Canis lupus familiaris: one gene and its partners. The protein of the gene in region 1 purifies or fractionates together with the protein of each later gene. This does not show direct contact. Links are inferred from orthologs where the notes say so. Each region holds a gene or a part of one and is shown on either strand. Other genes may lie near its edges.

The links.
Region 2: the proteins of ACTR2 (region 1) and CORO1C fractionate together in Homo sapiens (co-fractionation; 3 studies listed by BioGRID and IntAct, with this or other methods). This does not show direct contact. The link is inferred for Canis lupus familiaris from reciprocal best matches to the Homo sapiens genes ACTR2 and CORO1C.
Region 3: the proteins of ACTR2 (region 1) and CHURC1 purify together in Homo sapiens (affinity purification with mass spectrometry; 4 studies listed by BioGRID and IntAct, with this or other methods). This does not show direct contact. The link is inferred for Canis lupus familiaris from reciprocal best matches to the Homo sapiens genes ACTR2 and CHURC1.

Annotation. Positions count from the first base shown.
Region 1 is NC_049231.1:66,019,020-66,026,606, reverse strand, and holds the end of ACTR2 (actin-related protein 2), read right to left. Parts: intron 5,484-7,587; coding exon 5,313-5,483; 3' UTR 2,795-5,312; downstream 1-2,794. UniProt on the Homo sapiens protein: ATP-binding component of the Arp2/3 complex, a multiprotein complex that mediates actin polymerization upon stimulation by nucleation-promoting factor (NPF).
Region 2 is NC_049247.1:18,585,392-18,592,542, forward strand, and holds the end of CORO1C (coronin-1C), read left to right. Parts: intron 1-620; coding exon 621-766; intron 767-2,713; coding exon 2,714-2,771; intron 2,772-2,866; coding exon 2,867-3,112; intron 3,113-4,285; coding exon 4,286-4,405; 3' UTR 4,406-5,241; downstream 5,242-7,151. UniProt on the Homo sapiens protein: Plays a role in directed cell migration by regulating the activation and subcellular location of RAC1. Increases the presence of activated RAC1 at the leading edge of migrating cells.
Region 3 is NC_049229.1:39,577,364-39,585,198, reverse strand, and holds part of CHURC1 (protein Churchill), read right to left. Parts: 5' UTR 7,792-7,835; coding exon 7,753-7,791; intron 1,846-7,752; coding exon 1,710-1,845; intron 1-1,709. UniProt on the Homo sapiens protein: Transcriptional activator that mediates FGF signaling during neural development. Plays a role in the regulation of cell movement.

The sequences.
Region 1 (7,587 bases):
TGTTTGAGGGACGGGGTGGAAACCAGCAGGGGGGCCACCCAGCACCGCCCAGACGTGGTGTCTAGGGCCTGTTCCCACCCCACTCCTGACCGTGTTTGCCAAGAGCTCCACGGGGAGTCAGGGGTGAGGGCAAGGGTGCACCGGTGTGCTCCCGGGCCGTGGCTCGTTCTCTGGGGCTGCCTGCCCTGTGAAGACCCTCCAGCAGGGCAGTGAGAGCTTTGAGGGTGGGGCGGGGTCCCCGGCACAGCTAGAAAACAGGCCAACCCTCAGCCCCCCAGCCCCTAACTCCTTAGGTCGAGTCAGGGCAGGAACCTGCATTTTAAAACATCCTGTGTGATTCTGACTTCGTATCAGGAGTGACACTGAGTGGCAAGTAATTTGACTGTTTTGGAAATTTAGCTCATTACGCTCCACCTACCTAATTTCCTATAGGATACTTGATGTATGAAATTCTACCTAAAACTCTAAGTAAAAACAAAACAAATGAGCAAAATGGCCTTTTTCATTGATCATGGAAGTCTTCTGAATCGCACCTGGTCATCACGGTTTTAGTTTCCAAACCTACATTCCTTTCAACAGTTCTTAAAGTTGAATGTCAGAAGCTTTAGATCTAAGAAAGAAAACACAGACGTGGAGAGAGACCGAAAGCTTCGAATCAAAGGGTCAAATGCTATGTTATCAACTTATTTTTGACATTGGAGTCTCACTTAAAACCCAAATTTCTTACTCTTCAAATACCAAGTTGGCACGAGACTTGAAAATGTTTAAGTGCAGTTAATGGAAGTATTCCTCACTCAGGAAATCCTCAGATTTTGGTTACCTAAGATAAGACAGGCCTTGGAATTTCTTATGCATATTTTATAATATACCCGGAGAAAAAATCCCCACCCCTGCACACAAGAAGGCAGCCACTTCACAAAAAGATCAACTGAATATTGTTGCAAGTCTTGACTTCAGTTTCTTGAACTAACTGCTAAAAATGTCCACCTTTATCTGATATTCATACCTTTGCATTCAAAAATTTTTCAATGACTTTTTTAGTGCATAGAACTCTTTAATTCCTGAGGGTTGAGCCCTCTTCTCCAAACCCATATTCAAGGAAGAGCAAGGCGGCTCGGTGGGGTATCCTTTTTACCATTAAGAAAAGGCACTCATCAGGCAAAAGCTCAACCTGATGCTGACGGCCAAGGGCAGTGTTCTAGTCTACACCTTGGGCTTAGAAACCATACTTTATTATTCTTTATTTGCGTTCCGCACTCGCCAAAACCCAAACCCAAACCTTTCAGCTGGTGCACGCAAGCCTAGTTAAAATACTAATTCTTCTCTTTCAAGGGAAAATATTTGCAGAGTCCTTTCCAGTCTTTTTCCTCCTCTGGGTGCGCAGGAACTGAGGGGAGACAGAGGAGACAGGACAGGAACTGTTCTGCCAAAGGCAGTCATCATTTAGATCCCCCTACCCCGATGGGGCTTTTACATCTGCACACGACACAAAATGAAATACTTAGAATAGGTACAAAGCATTATTATTATTATTGTCACTGCCATAGTAAAGATGATTTAAACAAAACTATAGTGTAATAGCTTCTTTCTCCCTTAAGTTTAACTTGAAAACCCGGTGTAAGTGTATACAACAGCTGCCTTATTTACAACCCCAACGCAAGTTTTTCTACTCTATAGCTAAGATTACTTGCAATACAGTGGTTAAAGCCAGTAATTTGGCCCTTCCAAAGTATTCAAGCTTTTAATAGGTCAAGGAATTTGAGCTGGAGGAAAAGAGGGACCCTACACATACCCCAGGTACTGTGGGTAGTTGGGTCGATTAGTCCAAGATTAGATGATTTTGTGTTAAATATTGAGCTAAAATCAATCCGTGAGCTTCTGGTTCACTTTTGTTGGGTACCGTTCTTTGATGCTTCTACAATTAGCACATTTCCACACTCAACTGTGCAGTGCTCAAAGTTTATGGGTGAAGGGAGAAAATGGGAGAGCACTGCAACATTCGTTCCATCACCGAGGAGCAGCGCCCGGTATCTTCTTCCTCTGTGGCATATGGACACAGTTGGTCATGTTATTCCGGCAACCAGGAAGAGGCTGCGGAAGACGCGGAGGCAAACCCCAGGAAGTCCTGGGGGAACGTGGCCATGAAGGGAGAGATGAGATTCAAGCACACAAGTTCATGAAGAAGGCTAAACGAAAATCCTATCACCTACTCCTCAGCGCCTATCCTCAAAGTAGGAAAGCAAGGAGAGAGAGGTCAGTAGAACAAAGGGGCACGTTACATAGAAGGTCTGTCTGGTGTTCCTAATCCTGCAACAGCCACTCTAAGTCTTGCAGGAAATAAAACTGTCCGCTTGAAGGAAAAATTACAGCTGTGGCTGTAATTTCCTCTGGTTTCCAGTTTCTGTTTTCCTTACGTATTTAAAATCATACTGGAAAAAAAGAGGGATTTTTTTGTCGTCAAATAATAGAACAACACGGAACTGGAACTGAACCTCGCCTGACAACTAGTGTGAAGTTGTCAATCCAATTTGCATTAGCAAAAATGAAAATATGAATAAAAATGAGGGCAGCTCAGGTGGCTCAGCAGTTTAGTGCTGCCTTCCACCCGGGGTGTGATCCTGGAGACCTGGGATCGAGTCCCACGTTGGGCTCCCTGCATGGAGCCTGCTTCTCCCTCTGCCTGTGTCTCGGCCTCTCTCTCTCTGTGTCTCTCATGAATAAATAAATAAAATCTTTAAAAAATAAAAATAAAATGAAACTAAAGAGAAAAATGATAGGCAAAACGAACACAAAATTCAAATTTACTTTCAAAAATCTGATTTTATTTTCTGAATCAAAAAGAAGTGTATTCACGTTAAATGTAGAATGTTTACTGTCCATTAATCTCTCAAAATGCTTTCCAGATATTAACAACAGTGCTTAGAACTGTGTAAAAAGTCAACATCCAATACCATGTTTTAAAGAAAAAAGTTTAAATGTAGGACTTATTTCTAAGAAACCCTTCTCAAAGGTCAAGGCATTGGCAATTCCAATTTAAAAAGAATTTTAAGTGACAATGGTTTCCAAGAGCTAAACATCAGATCTTTTTTAAAACAGAAAAAAATTTTAATTTCTGAGGGACTCCCGACCTGACAACTTCAATTAAACATAGTATTTCCACTACCCCCCAGATTACTAAATGCATTATTTTGCCTTGGAATAGGAAAATTAGAAAATGGAAATTTTAAAATTATACTATATATTTATATATATAAATACACCATTTTAACTGTCATGTTTGCTAGCAGAATTATGAAAGTAAAACCAAATTCTATATTCTAGGGACAAATGATAAATGATCTTTCATTGTTCTAAGAGTCCATCCTAGTCCTTGTTGTTTTCTACCCTCATATATTAAAATCATGACCAAAGGCCAAGAGTTAATCCATTTACCTTAAATGAACAGCTGGGTAGCTACTGTCCTACATTTGTGTCCTTTAGCCCAGGACTCAAAGGCTGGGGGATTTAGAAGAACATGATTTAGGAACACTTTAGAATTCCAAAATGACTGACATCCATGTCCCTCCACTCTGGTACACGTTATTCATAGGCTATTCATGTGTACTGAAGCATGGCCAGCATGCAAACTTCTTTTACTTGTTTCAAATTGAGGTAAAACAAGACAAAAAATACTTAATATTAACAGAAGCTGCATAATTAAAACTAACCTGCTTTTGCTTATTTCATATAAATTGATTTTTAAGTTTGCTCACAAAAAAAGACTCTACAGCCAATAACCTCTCTAATTTCAGTCACCTAAAAATTGAGCTTCTTTGCTCAAAGCCATTATTAGTAAAGAATATTTTGAAATGAAGAAAAACATTTTTTCCCCAGAATCTGCATCTTGTCCTTAGCGTGATACAATTTATTACTTTATTTTTCAAATTTAGAAAGAATTCAAGTCTGAGTACTATTTGATGTTTTTTCAGTTACAAAGCAATACCGACGGGATTCATAAATATGATTTTCCTGACAGACGGGAAAGTCTGCTAACATTTAAGAAATATCAACAACTCTTCTTTCAAGTGTAAGGTGGCTGAGATTTACTAGTTATGATTACTTTTTCAGTACAAATACAAATTTAAATCTTGATTTTTTTTTTTTTGCCAATGTTTTAAGTAGTCAAATTTTACTCCACTTTCAGGTTTCAAATTAAAATAATAATAATAAAAAACTAATGAAAATTACCCAACTGGCAACAAGTCCCATATTTTAATGTTATTTTTAACCCAACAATTATAACCTACTGCCAGTAATTATTTATATGTATCTACTTATTCTTATTAAATAAGCACTGGTCAGTTATATAAAAGAGTAACTGCAAGAATGGTACTTGGCACTGGATTACCTTAATGCTTCTGGTATAAAAAGAAGCACTCTTAAGCACTTTTTAAATCTGTAATTTGAATTTCCAAGAGCATTTTTAAATTGTTAATTTTTCACTGATAGATTCTAGGGAGTCTACTCCCAGCTAATATGGTTGATTTAAAAACAAAACAAATAAATCCCTAAGCCACATGGTAATGTAATGGAATATTACACTTGCTTTTTATATCATGGAAACAGTTCCAGGCAGACCAAAAGTAGAAGAAAACCTGCCAAATCAAAGTACTGCAAATAAACTTCATCTTAGATATCTCAGAGCAGAAAAGCTCAAAAATCAAAAAGTCAAAATCAAAAGACCACTCCCTGCCCCCACGCAAAAAACCCACCCCAAACACTTTAATTCTGAGCCTAACATTTCCCTAAAATGTTAATTCCAGAAGCTTTAAGGTACTTCAACTGTGCAGTAACTGTTGAAAGCACCACACCACAGAGGAATTGCTGTAAAGGGGTCAACAGCTGCCCGCCCATGCCTTACCACCCCCACCCCAATAATATGTAAAAAGCTCCTGTAAAGTTTTTTCTTATGCTAATGAAGGCATACCACCTAGTGTGCTAAAGACTAAAACTAGCAGCATTAGAGCAGTAAAGTGAAAATAGGAAGCCGACAGCAATGATCTAAATGCCTACTTAGAAGAAACAAAGCAGCAGACAGGACCCTTTGCCCTCTCGTTGTGTTTGTAGGGAAGTGGTTGAATTAAACAGATTTACCCACATTAACAAAAATTTAACAAAGCTTCCCCAAGACACCAGAATAAAACCTGACCTTTCCAGTCAAAGGGCACAGAGAGGACTCTTCCATGTCCTGGAGTTGAATGAGTTCAAAGATTGGCAATAAAGGAAAAAAGAAAGCATTTAGGGGTGTGATGCGAACAAGCTCTGGAGTTAGTTTATCGAACAGTCACACCAAGTTTCTCCAGCACACGAACACCCTTTTCTTGATATTCTTGTCGGGTCATCCAGAAGTTGTCTTTGTCTTTCATGATATCTGCTAGAACTGCACCACCCAGGAACACCATATGCTTTCTGCGCGGTGGGTCTTCGATGCGGATCTTAAATTTCTAAAGGGGAAAAACAAGATCATATGTCACAAGTGCATAAAGCTTTCTGCTTTATGAAAATGATTTTTTCATATATTCTCCTGCTGAATTCTCACAAGTCCTGTGACATAAGTAGGACGGCACGATTCGGTATCTGAGACAGTGACATTTTTTGTATATTGCCCAAGGCTCACAGCTAAGAGATCACACACATCCATCCCAGTGCGCTCAGAACAGCCCTCATTTATACCCGTTGCCCCAACACTATTAACAACACCCCCGTCACTCTCAAAAGTGTCTTGATTTGACCAAGAGATTTCTACAATCAGCCTACTGAGAGCCCAAGTACCAGAGTCCTGATTGTGGCAGGTTTTCCCATCTCCTGGTGACGACCAGAGCAAATCACTTAGCCAGATGTCAAGAGTTTGGGTAAGAGGACTTCTACGGTTTCTTCAAGGTCTAATGCCTCTAAATCATAGAGGAAGGGGTCCCATGTAACTGTAAGATTGAAATTCTTTTCTTATAAGCAAAGCTCACTTTATATTGTCTCAAATTCAAATGAAATGTTCTCAAAATAAACAACCAAATATGGTCAAGTAAACCACGGGGATGCTGGAAGAATTGAACACAGCAACCAAAATTAAAGACAAGTGGGACAAGTTTTACACTCTGTAGTCACTCTTGATTATGTAACCACATAAAGACATACCTCAACCTTGCATGCGTGTGTGCTCTCTCCACCACTTCCTGGTGTTATCCTTAGTGACTTGGTCCTTCTCTCCCTCTTAAACTCAAGTGGCCCAACACCAACTACCGACTACACTTCACAGCTGCCCCCAGCAACTGTATACGACAGGTGAGAAACTCAACGTCTTGGTTTAACTGCATCACTTCTGTCACTTGAACCCCTCAGTGCAGCTCGGCAACTCCATGACACAGGTCTTCTCTCTTCTACTCGTCAAGACAACCATTCCATACCTCCTCCACTTCATAAACTTCCACCATCTCCCCCGTCCCTCCGAGCCTAACTCAGCCTTCTACAATCTTTCTTCCTCCCTCCAGCAACAATCTACTAACCACACCAGACTCAGCAATGATCCTTTTTAAAACAAGTCAGACCCTATCACTTTCCTGCTCAAAATCCTTCCCAGGCTTTCTATCTCATTAGGAGTGAAGCTAAAGCCTTCACTGTGGCTGAACAAGCCTTGCCTCCAACCACCTTTCTGAGCTCACTCCCAAGCCTCCTTGGGCTCACTCCTTCCCTTCTGGCCATGCCTGCACATTCCCAACAGCCCTTGCCGTTCCTGCCTGGAAGAGTCTTTGCACTGAGGGTTACGAGGCTCACTGCTCACTCTATTCAGGTCTCTGCTCAGAACCAATCCCTCAGAGCCCGGCCCTGACCACACTATAGAAAGATGTGTACCACCACTCACTACAGCTTTCTAGCCCCTGACCTTACTTCACTTTTCTTCACCGTGCCTTTTACTACGGACACATTCGCAGAATCCGAGTGGGGATCTGGTTTCTATTTACTACTGTTTTGCTTGTTTGGGCACCTGACAAGTGTTTGGCACCCAGAAGCAGTTCAAGAAATAATCACCTGAGACGAATTTTAAACTCTATGTGTAACTCAAAAATAGACAAATAAGCAAAATACTTAAACAAGGCTCCTTTTGAGTCTTTTAGTTTGTCCAATGCATGTGAATCCACATTCAATTCAATTTTCACAATCTGAGTCACAGTCGAAAGATATGACATTAGTATCTCTGATATATACGGTCCCCTGTAATATGTAATCTCATTATCTACAACAGCAGATCAAAGTTGCTAGGACAAAGCTCAGCGATTAACTCAGAATTCAATGACTCCCAGCTGAGTGCATAGTATATACACTATACTTCACACACTTCAGCGTTTGTAGGAAAAAAAAAAAAATCAATCCCAAATAACCATCAACTATTATATACTAGTTCATACATTATTTTTTATTCTATACATTCACAAGTACCAATTAACGCCTGTTTCAGGAGCTAAGATAGCTGATGGGGATTCAAAATATTTGACATATGATGTTTTACAATCTGATTAGGGAAATAAGACATATGCAAGAAACAGTCAGAAAAAA
Region 2 (7,151 bases), on another chromosome or scaffold:
ATTTGATACACTGCAATGAGATAGTACTATATTCTTAAGTTAAAGGATACTCATGTTTTAGTGAGTTTTTTAATTAAGAATTATGAGTTAAGAATTAATTATGAAATAAGAATGATTAAGAACTATTTATTCTTAATATTTCTTAATTATAAAAATCTTATTTTTTATCATCGTCTGATTGTCCCATGTTAGTGCCCTTGGGTTTGGGAATGACACTATTCCATGGCAGTGAGAGTACTCAAATCAGTTATTGCCTTCTCTGAGATCCTCCTAGACTTGTGTTTGGTTTTTGAAGTTGAATTGCAATTGCAGTTGCTTGGCCAGAGGTGTTAATGCTTTTGCTCTGACTCCAACTTGATGTCTAGGCTCAGCAGTGTAAAATTTGAGCCTTCAGTAGGAGGCAGAGGACAGACTGTTTAAAGGCTATGCTAGCATTTGATAAGTGAGGGCCTGTTCTGCCATGAAGAGAAACCATTGTATCCTCTTCCTCTGAAGGGAAAGCTGAGGTTGGCCACTGAAGCAGAGTCCCAGTTAATTCTGGTTTATAGGGGAGAGAGATACCACTTTAACCAGATACTTCAGGTAACATTCAATGCAAATTTGTCTCTGATTTCTTGTAGGGTGACAGCAGTATCCGCTATTTTGAGATCACAGATGAATCCCCGTATGTCCACTACCTCAACACATTCAGCAGCAAGGAGCCTCAGAGAGGGATGGGCTACATGCCCAAGAGGGGACTTGATGTTAACAAATGCGAGATTGCCAGGTAAAGAATTGGTATCATAAAGTATTCAGATTGTTTGTGCCACATGTGTTACTCAAGAGTAGTACAACTACCAGTCATGCCATAGTGCCAGTCTATCTACCCTTTGTTGTCCTGTAGAATTGGTATCTCGTTTCCTGCTCACACTTAGGAACGTGGAGTTTTAGAGTAGTGAAGAGCCTTTCAAAATCCTGTAATTGAATTGTGCCCCTCCTCATTCTTTGGACTACATAACCTGTGGTGCAGTGGCTTAGCCAAGGCAGATTTTGTACACTTAAATAGTGAAGCCTTCATCTCTTGTCTTCAGGCTGAGTCTGTGGCCAGTGTCCTCTGGGAGGCAAGCAGGGAGAGCCTGCTGCTGAGATGGACAGAAGAGATGGTTTTCCTGCCCTGAGGGAGACGAACAGGTTCCAAACTGGATTGTAGACCTCATGGATCTTAAACTAGAGAAGCCAAAGACCAATAGCTGGGTTGTTGGGTTAGCTTGATGTAGGAAGTTCAGCTGTGTTATATAATACATAAAATATACTACTGTGGTTTAAAAAAAAATTTGTATTGCATAATGCCTAGTGGTCTTCCTAAACAATAGGCTGTTTTCTCCTCGTGGTCGACAAAAGATAGTCCATGAGATGCATGGATAACTGGCCGTTTTAAACAACAGAATGACTAGTGCTGCACCATCAGGCCTGTGGTCCTACCACACATTTGTACAGTACTGCGTTTCTTTTTTAAATTTTAATTTATTTATTTTAGATAGAGCATGCACAGGGGGAGGGGCAGAGAGAGAGGGGAAAGAGAGAGATCTCAAGTAGACTCCCCGCTGAGCACAGAGCCAGACACAGGGCTCGATCTCACAACCCTGACCTCATGTATGACCTGAGCCAAAATCAAGAGTCGGACACTAGTAACTGACTGAGCCTTGCAGGCACCCCACAACACTACATACGTATCTGCCTAACTATGCTGTCCTGATCACACAATAATGAACACATCTTTAAAAATAATTTTTTAGAAGCCCCTTTTTATATTATTAGAAGTTTCTCTTAAAAATACATTTCTCTACACCTGGAGTGCAAAGGAAAGCTGTCAGAGATAAGTCAAAAGTATGGTTTAAACTAGTCTCATCAAAACATGGTTCAAAACTGATCAAATCCTAACTTAAGGTTGCCTCCAGTATTTGGAAAAGCATTAATTTTACTGTCATCTAAAAGTTTAAAAGACTACAAGCATAACCATTCAGGATACCTCCTACTTACTGTTTATTGAGCACTCGTTATATGCTGGATGCTATGCTAAATGTGCTGCCACACACTCGGGCACTGTAGCACTTGAGCTGGGTGTCAACCCAGGCCGGTCTTCGTTATTGCTCTGCTGACTGCAGAGGTGCCCAGTCTTATCCACATTTTGGGTAATTTCAAATTTTTCTTGAATGTTAGACGTGATGTGGTTTGCTTGAATGCCAAAGTTTTAATCTCAGGATTCTTTTCTTTTCCCTTTTAAAAATCCCATTTATGCTGACAAATGTTCAGCCACCTCTAGTTGGCAGAAGACCTGGCATTCCAGGTCCTAGATTCTGTCTAATATTAGGTGTTTGTTTTCACCTGCCTGCTGACTTGGTCACTTTTGCAGAAGTGAATCATCGTCGGTAGTGGTGTTTCTTCCCCCATGGCTGGTCAGCCCCCAGATTACCAGAGTTGGGCCGTCCCCAGAAGCAAAGACTTCTGCTCCTGGTTCTTGTTTCCAGTCCCCCATTGCCTCGCATTTCTCCTCTGGAAAATGGGAGCACACACTGCACCTGCTCCCCAGAGTAGATCAGCTCAGGTGATAGGCAGAGCGTTTCATGCCCCAGACAGCAGTGTAGAAGACTAGCCGTCAGTCATGAAGCCTGTTAACCTGGCCTCCTGTTTCACTTAATACAACTTTGTTATTATTTCTATTTCTCCCTTGAAGATTCTTCAAACTTCATGAGAGAAAGTGTGAGCCTATTATCATGACTGTTCCCAGGAAGGTAAGTGCCCAGTTTCCTGGGCAATCCACGATTAAAAAGATTCTTAAAATTTCAGGCTTGTCATCTTTAAGCGTTTTCCCAAATGTCTCTTATAGTCCGACCTTTTCCAAGATGACCTGTATCCTGACACAGCGGGGCCTGAAGCAGCGCTGGAGGCAGAGGAGTGGTTTGAGGGGAAAAATGCAGACCCGGTCCTCATCTCCTTAAAGCATGGATACATCCCTGGCAAAAACAGGGATCTCAAGGTGGTCAAGAAGAACATTCTGGATAGCAAGCCCACTGCAAATAAGAAGTGCGACCTGATCAGTGCCCCCAAGAAAACTCCAGACACGGCCAGTGTGGTGAGGACTGCAAGAGGTGGAGGGGTGTGCTTGGTTGTGGCTCAGGGCTTTTAGTAAACGAGGACACATACTATTTGTAAGAACCTTCTTGGTTACATGACATTTATGAGCTCGTGGCCACTTTGGCTCCTTTAGCTGCATTTTTTATAATGACCAGGATAGAAATCTGTCTGCTACCATTTTTGAGAGAGTATACAGGAGCTGCTTGGGTGTTTTCTTAGCGGTCTCTCCCCACCCAGAGTGTTTACATTCATCTCTGATTGGGGTAGAAATGAACCTGGAAAGAAAGGGCCCAAGGAAAGGGAAAGAGTAGTGACAGGGTTCAGGTGTTGCTGAATGTTCCAGAGACAAAATATCTGGCGGTGAGTGGGACTTAGCAGCAAAGATGATCTTGGGCCTATTGGCAAGAACCATGTCATTGGAGTGGTGGGAACCAAAACCTGATGTTGGAGACCCACATGGCCGCTGAGGGTGCTGCTGCTGGGAGAGCGGAGTCCAGCCAGGGAGGAGAGGGCATGGGGAGTTGGCAGGAGTAGAACAGGATCCCAGGGAGCCAGAGGGAAGGCAGAGAGTTGTCAGTGAGAGGGTGAGTGGAATGAAGAGGCAAGGTGCCTGGAAGAGCTGGTGTTTTGGCCATGACTGAGGTAGCCACATGAGGTGCTGTGGATTGCAAGGTTTCCAAAAGAATCAGCTCCACATGTGGCAGAGGCTGAGCCCTCTTCAGAAGAGTGAGCAAGCATGGCAAGGGGGTTGGCTCCTAAGAAGGACCCTCCATGGGAGATGATAGGAGCTCTGTAGCCTCTGGAAGTTCACTCCTGACCTGGGTCACATAAAAGTTACTCCTGATGGTATTGCATGGGGTGGCTGGGCTGTGGGGCAGCCCTGAAGGGATCGGTCCTATCCCACAGTTTGACTTGTTCTGAGTCTCAGTCCAGGTAAGTGCAGAGGCACATGGAATGGGGAGTACTGGGACCCTGGTTCTACTGTGGGGTGGCAGGTGGACTGACCAGCATGCAGTTCCTTTCTCAGAAGGCCCAACTTGGTGGCTATGGCTTGCATTTCCAAAGTAGAAAATTAGATTGTATGCCTTATAAATTCTCAACTTTGGTAAGCTTCGTTTACTGCATTTTAGTCAACCTCTTTCCTCTCCCTCCTCCTTTTTGGTTTCCTTAGCAAAATGAAGCCAAGTTGGATGAGATTTTAAAAGAGATCAAATCTATAAAAGACACAATCTGCAATCAAGACGAACGCATTTCCAAGTTAGAACAGCAGATGGCGAAGATTGCAGCCTGAAGGTCCATCCCCCACCCCCAAAATGGGAGCAGGAACTTGTGCTTGGTAGCTGGTTGTTGGCGTGGTCCCAGGGAGGGCGAAAGGGAGGCACTGCCATTCGGAGACATTCCGGGTCACATTTGTCAACCAGCGATAGGCCACATTCCAGTAAGAACTCAATTCGTCTCCCAAATTTGCAGAAACATAATGTGATTTAAAAGCCGAGCTTTTTATCAGAAAGCTTTTTTGATGTTTTAAGTGTTATGTGACTTGTCGAACTTTTAAAAGACAAAAGTGCTACTTTTAAAATCCCAGATATTCTGAATTTTAGAAAACCAACCAATTCTGATTCAGTGTCGTGCCCAAGTACCTTTTTTTTTTTATAAACAGGGACCAATGCCACATTGCTTTTTATATTTCTTTTTTTTAATGTTGCCAAAACCAAAAGTAGCTTTTTTCCCCCCTTGTATTTTGCTACTTTGCAGTATTTGTGTGTGGTTTTTTTTTTTTTTTCTTAATTTGAAAGGGACAGCACTGTGTATGTTTATAAACTAAATGAAGATAAGATATTATTTTGTATACACGTTCATCTGAGAACAATCAGAGCAGTAGCCACATGGTGCTGGCTCGTTTGCAGCACAAACCTGGTCATCCTCATGACTGTACAGAAGGAAGACTTGAAAAATCACGTGGGTTCGATCACCACCCTCTCCTTTCATGGAGTCTTCTGATCAAAAAAGCTCCTATTGTATTGTTTTCTTTCTTTCTCTTTTCTAGAAACTGGGTGGTTGTACCAGATGGAATTTCACTTCTTGGTTATCCTGTGCTTCAGATGATTATAATCTAACCTAAACTAGCATGTGTTTCTGCAGTTTTGTTATACACATAGAATCTATTGCATTGATCACTTTAAACATCATGTTTCAGGTTTCGGTCAATACTTGATAAGGGCCCAGGACAAGAAGCCACAGAAGCCACTGTGGAGTGTTCCTTCTTGCCCATTTCAGCAGCTTGCCTAGCTCTTCAGTACAGTAGGAGACTAAGACCTAGGGAAGCTGGAGGGGAGTGTGTGCCCCCACGTGATCCTCTGCTCTTCCGAACATCCCATGCTGTCTCTGTGCCATGCTGCCTGCAGCATGGCTCTCCCTGTGCCACCAGAGCCCCTGCCCTCCCCTCAGTCTCCCAGATGCAGCCATCTCTCTCAGGGCTCCCCCAGCCAGTCCTTCTGTCCTTCCTGCCTCTCAGCCCTCTCCACGTTCAGCTAAGAGGAGGCCAGAGGGTGCTATTTAATATTGAGACTGAGGAGAACGGTCTAGAATTATGCAAAACCAGGAGCACAGGCCTCTGCTGTAGCTTTAATGTGTACAAACCTGTCCCTTTGCCCCCTCTACCATACCAACATGCTTTGCACCTCCAGCTCCCACAGAGGCTCCCCAGACTCAGGGGCCAGGGACTGAGCTCTGAATACCTATTCCATTACCAAGTTAGCTTCTCTCCCATTTCCATGTTTTCATTTTGCACGCTTGAGGAGCAAGATTTAAGGAATCTCGGGGAAGAGCTGAGTGAGTGTGGTTGAACATGGAACAGATGGTGCCAGTGGGCCCCCCTGGGGGCTCTTGGCGCCTATTCCTGCTGATGTGGAAGGGAACTGGCAGGGAATGTCTATAACCGGGAATCAGGATGGAGATGGAGTGTGGTGACAGCGGGTTGGAATCTACGGCCAAGCTGGGGCTGATGTCTTTGTAGGAAAGGTACCATGTTTTTTCCCAATATTGGGATCTCTGTCTCCACAACTTCCGGGCATCTGAGTGTTTGGTGTGTGTGTGTGTGTGTGTGTGTGTGTGTAATATTGGAGTGGATAATGAAATATAAGGAAAACAATAATCACAATGACTTATATTCAAATCTGTACATGTTTCTTTATCAACGTAATCTGCTGAAGACCTTCCTTTTTAAGATTCAGAAATGTTTTAAGATTCTGATATCAAATTAAGTAAACAAAATTGTTGGTGGTGGAACACCATAGGAAATGTGGTTCAAAGAGAAGACGGAGGGCAAGGAGAAATTATCCTGATCTTAGTGCGTAGCTTATGACTTATTTAATGAACAGGTGCCCAGCCAGGCTCAAAGTCAGCGCCTGAAGTTTGTGGATTATCCTTCCTGTTTTGTCTTTCTTTCTTTTCTTCTTCTTTTCTTTCTTTTTAAAGCCGTGCTATCCCAGAGGAAAACCAGTGAATTACTCCTAGATCGGCTCTTATAGAGCGGCCATAGTATTCTGTCAAAACACTTGCTTCCATTTTCAAAGATAAAAAAATCATTGATTACAAAATGGTGTCCGTGTTTATTTCACACCTCAGCTGTCTTTGAGGCAGCCCACAGCCTCTCTGATTCAGTGGAACCAGCTGCGCGACTGTTCCTCTCTCAGGGTGAGTACAGGGTGAGTGTGGGTAGGCCGCTGCCCTCCAGCACAGGGGGAGGTAGGGTAGGGTGTAGCAGGGTGAGGGCTACAGGCCAGACTCCAGTTAAGCCTCTAGCCTTTACCAGGGGTGGGATCTGGGGCAGATCTAATCTTGGGGCATCTCTTTCCCTGCTCTGAAGGAGGGATACGAATCCCATGTCATTTGGAAGAGAGATACCTGCGCCCAGTCGTACTGAGAGCCCTTGCCACTACCGCATGGCTGGCATTGTTATTGTGACTGCTGAGTCTCTGACTGTGCTTTCGAAAGCACTGTTTTCTTCAGTACAAGTACAGCCTTCTCAGCTTAGC
Region 3 (7,835 bases), on another chromosome or scaffold:
ACATAGCAACACTACATAACGAATGGCCTCAACTCAGAGATTTAACAGGCATATACTAATTCCCATTCTCAGGACTTCTAGAAACTGTACTACAAAAAACAATCATAAAAAGCCAATGCTAGACATTAAAATGAATTTAATAATAAGACTCCTTAAAAATATGATCATAAATAGGATTTTTAAAAAAAATATGATTTATTGAGTGCCTAATGTGTGCCAGATATAGTTCTAAGTACTTTTTATCTGTTTACTTACTTAATCTTCTCAAAACCCAAAGAGGTAGATCCTATTGTTATCACCTTTTTAAGGATAAAGAAACAAAGGCACACCACAGTTAAGCAATTAGCAAGACTACTGAGCTAGAAGTGTGGGAAACAGAATTCAAACCCATGCATTCTGGCTCCAGAGCCCTTGCTCTTAACCACTGTGTCCTACTACCTCTTTAAAATAGAGTTGAAAGGGTTATTCCTGAAATAAAGAAAAAGACTGTTCTACTTTAGAACACTTAGAATATTTAGAACATTTTCAATGACTAAAGGCTTAGTGTCTCTCATATCTTTTTTACAAAATATCATTATTTGCACATTTATTCCTCATATATTCAGAACATACTGAAGAACCAGGTGACAAGCAAAAAGAGGATATAAACAGTTTAAATTATCATCACCATACCTACTTGCTAAAATGTACACACACTTAATTTACTCACAAAAATTCTTAGAGTGCCAACCTCAGATCTGATTCATTTTTATGATACAGAGCTTATTTATTTGGTTCCTCAGCATAGAGGATGAGGAACAGCATATGAAGGTAGCACAGAAAGATAATGAGAAAGAAGACAAAAAAAAGCTGAGAGCAGAAACAAGACTAAAAAACCGTAACATCCCAGGGTCATTCTGTATGGCAGCAAATAGCCCTAAACATTTTAGTAGCTGTTGGAGGACATCACTGTATTAGACTATAGTAAAAAAAAGAAAACTCACATGAATGACCATAGGGTTAAAAAAAAAGTCTCCGTCTTGTTTCAGAAGGCATAAAGACTTTAGAATAAACAAACAAACGGGATGCCTGGGTAGCTCAGTGGTTGTGTGTCTGCCTTCGGGCCAGGGTGTGATCCTGGAGTCCTGGGATCAAGTTCTGCATCAGGCTCCCTGAACCCAGCCTGCTTCTCTCTCAGCCTGTCTCTGCCTCTCTCTGTCCCTCATGAATAAAGAAATAAAATCTTTTTTTTTTAATTTTTATTTTATTTATGATAGGCACACAGTGAGAGAGAGAGAGAGAGGCAGAGACACAGGCAGAGGGAGAAGCAGGCTCCATGCACTGGGAGCCCGACGTGGGATTCGATCCTGGGTCTCCAGGATCGCGCCCTGGGCCAAAGGCAGGCACTAAACCGCTGCGCCACCCAGGGATCCCAAGAAATAAAATCTTAAAAAAAAAAATAATAATAATAAATAAACAAAAAATGGTACCTGAATCATAAGCTTCAGTCATCTGCAAAAGTCACTTAGGCAGAATCTGATGATGCTAGCTAGCATCATATTTACTAGCATCATATTTATCTTCCTCTTAAAAACTGAACTAGCAACTCTGTTGCAATACAATATAGAAACAGGCCTCATAAAATACAACGTATCAGTAGGCACAACATATCAGCTTTCTAGAGCAGGTCTCTGCCACCAGATTTGCATGAAAATAAAAACTCTACTTACGATCATAGGTAACTATTTCTTCACCATCTTCCTCTTTCAAAGATTTGTTTGTGATCAGCATAAAATCCCGCTTACTGCACACTGCACAGCCTGTAAAGTTCAGCAAGAAAGAGCCATTCTCCAGGCAGATGTTACCCTAAGATATTAAAAATAGGAATTTAATTTTCTTCTATTTCAAAATCCGTGGTGAAAATAATTAATAGACTAAAAATTTCTAAAGGCAAAAAACCACCCCCAAAAAACCATGGCCAGAATTTACTTGCTTGAAGTCTGTACTAAGTGATTTTTTAAATTACTAGCTTTCCTCTAGAAGTGCTATTTATGGCAACTAAAACTGAAGCAGTGTTAAGCAGTAAGTCTCTGAGGATTGCAACTGTGTTTGAGAGGACTAAATGCAAATGGATATTTAGAAACTTAATAAAGCTTTAATAATATAAAATGTGAAGAGGAAAAATCAGAAGAATCTAATAGCCAACAATATTAAATGAGGCATAGCATAAAACTAGAATTAAAATACAATCAAAATGGAAGCACTGGGGCAGCCCGGGTGGCTCAGCGGTTTAGCGCCACCTTCAGCCCAGGGCGTGATCCTAGAGACCTAGGATCGAGTCCCATGTCAGGCTCCCTGCATGAAACCTGCTTCTTCCTCTGCCTGTCTTTGCCTCTCTCTCTCATGAATAAATAAAATATTTTTTAAAAAAATAGAAGCACTGAACTAATGATAAAAATGATCTTATACAATGTGATGGTCAGTTGATAGTTGAAATTGCATTTTTTTTTATGCCTTAAAAAATAATACAAAATAAGCAAAGAATAAACCCTCATCTCTACAGATGCCTGTCCTTAAGGGTATGTGTGATTCAGGCAGAGAAGATAAGCTCTGCAATTCATCAGACTGACACCACAGTGTTCAAAAGAAAGGGATTTGCTTCATCACTAAGAAACTGTAAATAACTTATGCTCCTAGCTCAAGGGAGGTCTTTGCTAAAGGCTTACTAATTGCTCAGGAAGTAATTTTATAAATACTCTAATTCAACCTCATTTCTGACCCATACATAAAGTATTCTTTAATAATTAATGTGACTAAAAACCAGTCAAATCAACACTTCTCCAATGCAGCTATGTGCTTGATACTGTGCAAAAGTACAGTGAAGGATTAGGGGATGAGTCACATCTTTCCTCCTTCTAGGTGCTTATGAACTAGCAAGAAAACCAGCTTTAAGTGATGCCATAGTGTAGCCTTCCTGGATTCCCAGCACCACAGTCAACCTCTCCCTTTGGAGTGGCTCCTTGATGCTATGTATTAAGGAAGAGATTAACTGTTAGGGTGGGAGTGGGTGGAAGCGAGGAAATCAATCTAACTATATAGTTGGGAGATACTAAATCACAGGCACATCAATTTAACTGCTAAAGGGGAAAAATGGCCTTGGGGTTAAAGTTCAAATTTCCAACTATTAAGAAAAGGTACTTTGATTTTTTAAAAAATAAACTTCACTGAAGTATAGCTTCTATATAATAAAATCCATATACTGTAAGGGTATAGGTGAATGACTTTTAACAGATATATGTATCAATGTAACCACTACACCAATCAAGATATAAAAATTTCTATCTTCCCAGGAGATCCTTCAGGCTTTGCAATCTACCTCCAATCCCTATCTCACTTCAAGCATTCTTTGATCTGATTCCTATCTCTAGATACTAGTTTTGCTTGCTATAAAATTTTATATAAATAGAACCATGCAGTACACTATTCTGCATCCCATTTCTTTTGTTCAAAATAATGTCCATGTTAATCATCTATGTTGTACTAGAAGCTCATTGCTTTTTATTGCCAAATAGTATTCCATTGAATGGATTCATCTGTTGATAGACTTGGGTCCTTTTCAGCTTGAAGTTATTATGAATAAGGTAGCTACAAAGACTCAGTAAGTCTTGTGTAGATATATGCCCTTCTCTTGAGTAAATATCTAGAAGTGGAATTGCTGAGTCAGATGGTAAAAATATGATCTATGCAAACTCTATAACTGCTCATTAATTTTCCAAAGTTTTCCATTTTCTATTCCCATCAGCACTGCATGAGTTCTAGTTCCTCCATATCCTCACCAACCTGAGGTACTGTATCTTTTATTTTAGCCCTCCTGATCACGGGGTATATCACAATAGTTTTTAATTTGCATTTCCCTCATGACTAATAACGTTAAACATCTTTTCATTGTGCCTTACAATGTACCTTCTTTAGTGGAGAGTCTATTCAAATCTTTTGCCCATTTTTTGATAGTTAGATTGTTTATCTTATCTAGTTTTAAGAGTTACTGAGTTGTAAGAGTTCTATATATATCTTATTTTTTTTTAATTTTTATTTATTTATGATAGTCACACACACACAGAGAGAGAGAGGCAGAGACACAGGCAGAGGGAGAAGCAGGCTTCATGCACCGGGAGCCCGACGTAGGATTCGATACCAGGTCTCCAGGATCGCGCCCTGGGCCAAAGGCAGGCGCCAAACCGCTGCGCCACCCAGGGATCCCCTATATATATCTTAGAGACAAGTCTTCTGTCAGATTTGTATTACAAATATTTTCTCCCTGTTATTGGTGTGCCCTTTTTAAAATGATGTCTTTTGAAGAGTTTTGATTTTTATGAAGTCCAATTTGTCAAACCTTTTCTTTCACTATTTGTGTCTTCTAAGACTAGTATCTCTCATCTGTGAAAAATATCTACCACAAGTCTCCAGAAAATTTTATGAAACCAAAGATAAATATTTACTATCTATTCATTCCACACTTAATATTTTTTAAAAAAAGATTTTATTTATTTATTCATGAGAGACACACAGAGAGAGAGGCAGAGACACAGGCAGAGGGAGAAGCAGGCTCCATGTAGGGAGCCCAACATGGGACTTGATCCAGGGTCTCCAGGACCACACCCTGGGCTGCAGGCGGCGCTAAACTGCTGAGCTACCGGGGCTGCCACACCTGGGCTGCCCCACACTTAATACTTCTTGAGGGATCCCCGGGTGGTGCAGCGGTTTGGCGCCTGCCTTTCGCCCAGGGCGCGATCCTGGAGACCCGGGATCGAGTCCCACGTCGGGCTCCCGGTGCATGGAGCCTGCTTCTCCCTCTGCCTGTGTCTCTGCCTCTCCCTCTCTCTCTCTCTGTGACTATCACAAATAAATAAAAATTAAAAAAAAATTAAATACTTCTTGAGATGCTAATCCATTATTTTTCTCTGCCAATTTTTTGGATGAGTACACTATACTTGCTACCATCATCTTATTGTCCTTTCCTTTGCTAAGCTCAAAGTAGTTTCTGCTCTTACTGCTCTCAGAAATATCGCAAGACTTCAAAAACTCCTAGAGTTGGTCCTCTGTGATTTCAATTGGTCAATCTCTCCTGAACAGGAAGAGAGTCCAATTCCTCCAAGAGTCGCCCATTCCACTTTTGCGCATCTGTTATAAAGTTCTTTGTTCTGACTCAAAGCCTACAACCCAATAACATCCACCCACTCAAGATTTCTAAATCTGCCTTCTGAAATTCCAAATAAAATTTTAATTCGTCCTCATGACAGCCCTTTAATTATTCCAGAACAGAATAGTCAGAAAAAAAGTGCTTATGAAAGGCATTTTTCAAAAAAGAAAAGAAAAGAAAGGTACTTTTCTGGTTTCTCAATCACCTCAAACCTTTTCTCTATTCTTCTTCTACTTTATTTTCACTTTCTAAATTATTCCTTGAAGCTCAGCCCTTGATTCTCCTTGATTCTCCACATTCTTTTCCTAAGAAAACAAATCCTTTCTATTTTGACACTTTTATTTGGCTAACTCATCTGAATCTCACACCTAAACTGCAATCCTGTATTTTCACTTGACTCCTTGGATGTTACATTCTCAATCTTGGATGATACGTGATACAAACAATCTGACCATGTGAACCCCAATTTTGGTTCTCTCTCCCATATGCCTCCAATTTCTGTAATGGTATTTCCAATTTCCCAATTGCCTAGATTGAAAACTCTAAGATCATCTATAGTTCCTCCCGCCATTAAATGGGTTGAGTTCTATTAATTCTTTCCTTGAAATGAAGTCTTCATTATCTCATGCCTACACTACTGTTGCCATGGCTCCCCAAATACTCTGTAGGGCTCTCCCTTTTACATTCCCTCCCCCCACCATAACCTCAACATACAGTCGTAAGATTCATTCCCCTAAAATATTTCAGAATTATTTCTCTATTCATTTTTTTCTGATGGATGCCCAATGCCTAAAGTGTAGAATCTAACTTTTTTTTTTTTTTAAGATTTTATTTATTTATTCATGAGAGACACAGAGAGAGAGAGGCAGAGACACAGGCAGAGGGAGAAGCAGGCTCCATGCAGGGAGCCTGACGTAGGACTGGATCCGGGTCTCCAGGATCATGCACTGGGCTGAAGGCGGCGCTAAACTGCTGGGCCACCGGAGCTGCCCAGAATCTAACTTCTTAATACAATTTTTAAGTCTTTTGGTTAGCTCAATTATTAAGAATCCAACCTAATCTCTTTAATACTCTTCCCTATAAACACCTCCCTTGTGTGGTCTCTGAAAAGTGCAGTGTTCGTTATTGAATTCATAAAAATTTATTTTTAAACTTTTTATGAATCAGAACACAGTGAAGTATATGCAACAAAAATGTACAGTATAATGCCTCTACCTAGTAGGTATCAGTAGTATCCCCAGTTGTGACAACTAAAAATGTCTACAGATAGTGTCAAACATCCTTTCGGAGGCAAACAAAACCAAAAACCTCACCCTGTTGAGAGCCACCGCTTTAATTAATTCACTTTCATTACTCATTCATGGTGTTCCATTCTATGATCCTATCACACTTCTCCCGTTTGTGACTACAAATAATGCTGGTATGAGCATTCTTACGCAAGTCTCTAGAAACATATGCATATGCACTTCCTTCTCTAGAATGGGAACTGCTGCATATCTTCATTTGATAATGCTACACCTTTTCCCAAGAAGGTTGTAACGTGAGCCTTCTTGTTATATATCCTTCCCCCAAAGACTTAGTATTACTCAGGATAGCAAGAGACCGGAAAACTGCAGATTTCCGGCCTCCCAACCACGACAAGAATCCTTGTTCCTGTTATATTCCCCAGGCCTCTGGCTCCTCCTTTCCTTCCCTAATCAAAACCAGCCTTCAAATCCCAAAAGAAGTCCACCTTTCTCTTGAGGAAGCAGCGCTATTTCCCTCCCGTTTCTCTACACCTCGAACAGCATTTATGAACTGTTACTCCCCTAAACTGTAAGCTCTCGGGATGCAACGAAAGCTGCCTTTTATTTCTTTGGAATCCCTTTCTGGCCTCGCAAAGTAATCTAGCTACACACGTAAATGTTCAATAAGTATATCCCGAATGAGAGTAAAAAAAAAAAAAAAAAAAAAAAAAAAGCTTCGGCAACCTCCCGAGATTGAGAAGAACCGAGATTTTTCCAAAAAAAAAAAAAAAAAAAGTAAAGGCCGGTCATCTGAGTTCTGGCCTTGGCTCCCGGTTCAGAGAATGTGAACTTGGGCAAGTGATTGCCCCTCTCCGGGCATTAGTTCCCCCTGCAACACTGGGTTATACCAAATGGCCTCAGAGGTGGCTTCCGGCGCTAGAAATTCGGTAAGAAACGTGAATTTCACCGAATCAAGCTTGAGAGGGAGACCCGGGGTTGGGGGGGGGGGGGGGGGGGGGCGTGTCCCTTCGTCGTCGGACTGGATATTGTTGATGGTGGTGGAGTTTCCCTTGCTGTGCCCTGGAACTCGAGAGAAAGTGGGGTGACGGCTGAGGTCAGCCGCCGGGGGGAGGGGGCGGGCGGGGACCCGCGGAATCCGCGGCCAGAGCACGCCGCCGCCATCAAGCGCCTAAAGACAGCTACCGGGTCACCGCCACGCGCAGAGCGGCCGGGTCGGCCCGCGCCCAGCCTCTCAGGGAAGGCCGGCCGGGGCTACGAGAAGCCCCAGGGGCTGGCCACGGGCCACGGGCCGCGGGAGCGAGACGTCCTCGGCGCCCACTCGCTCACCCGGTTGGGATACTCCTTCTCCACACAGCCCCCACACATCCCGGCGCCGTTCCCGGGACGCGGTCCTCCAGCGCTTCCGGGAA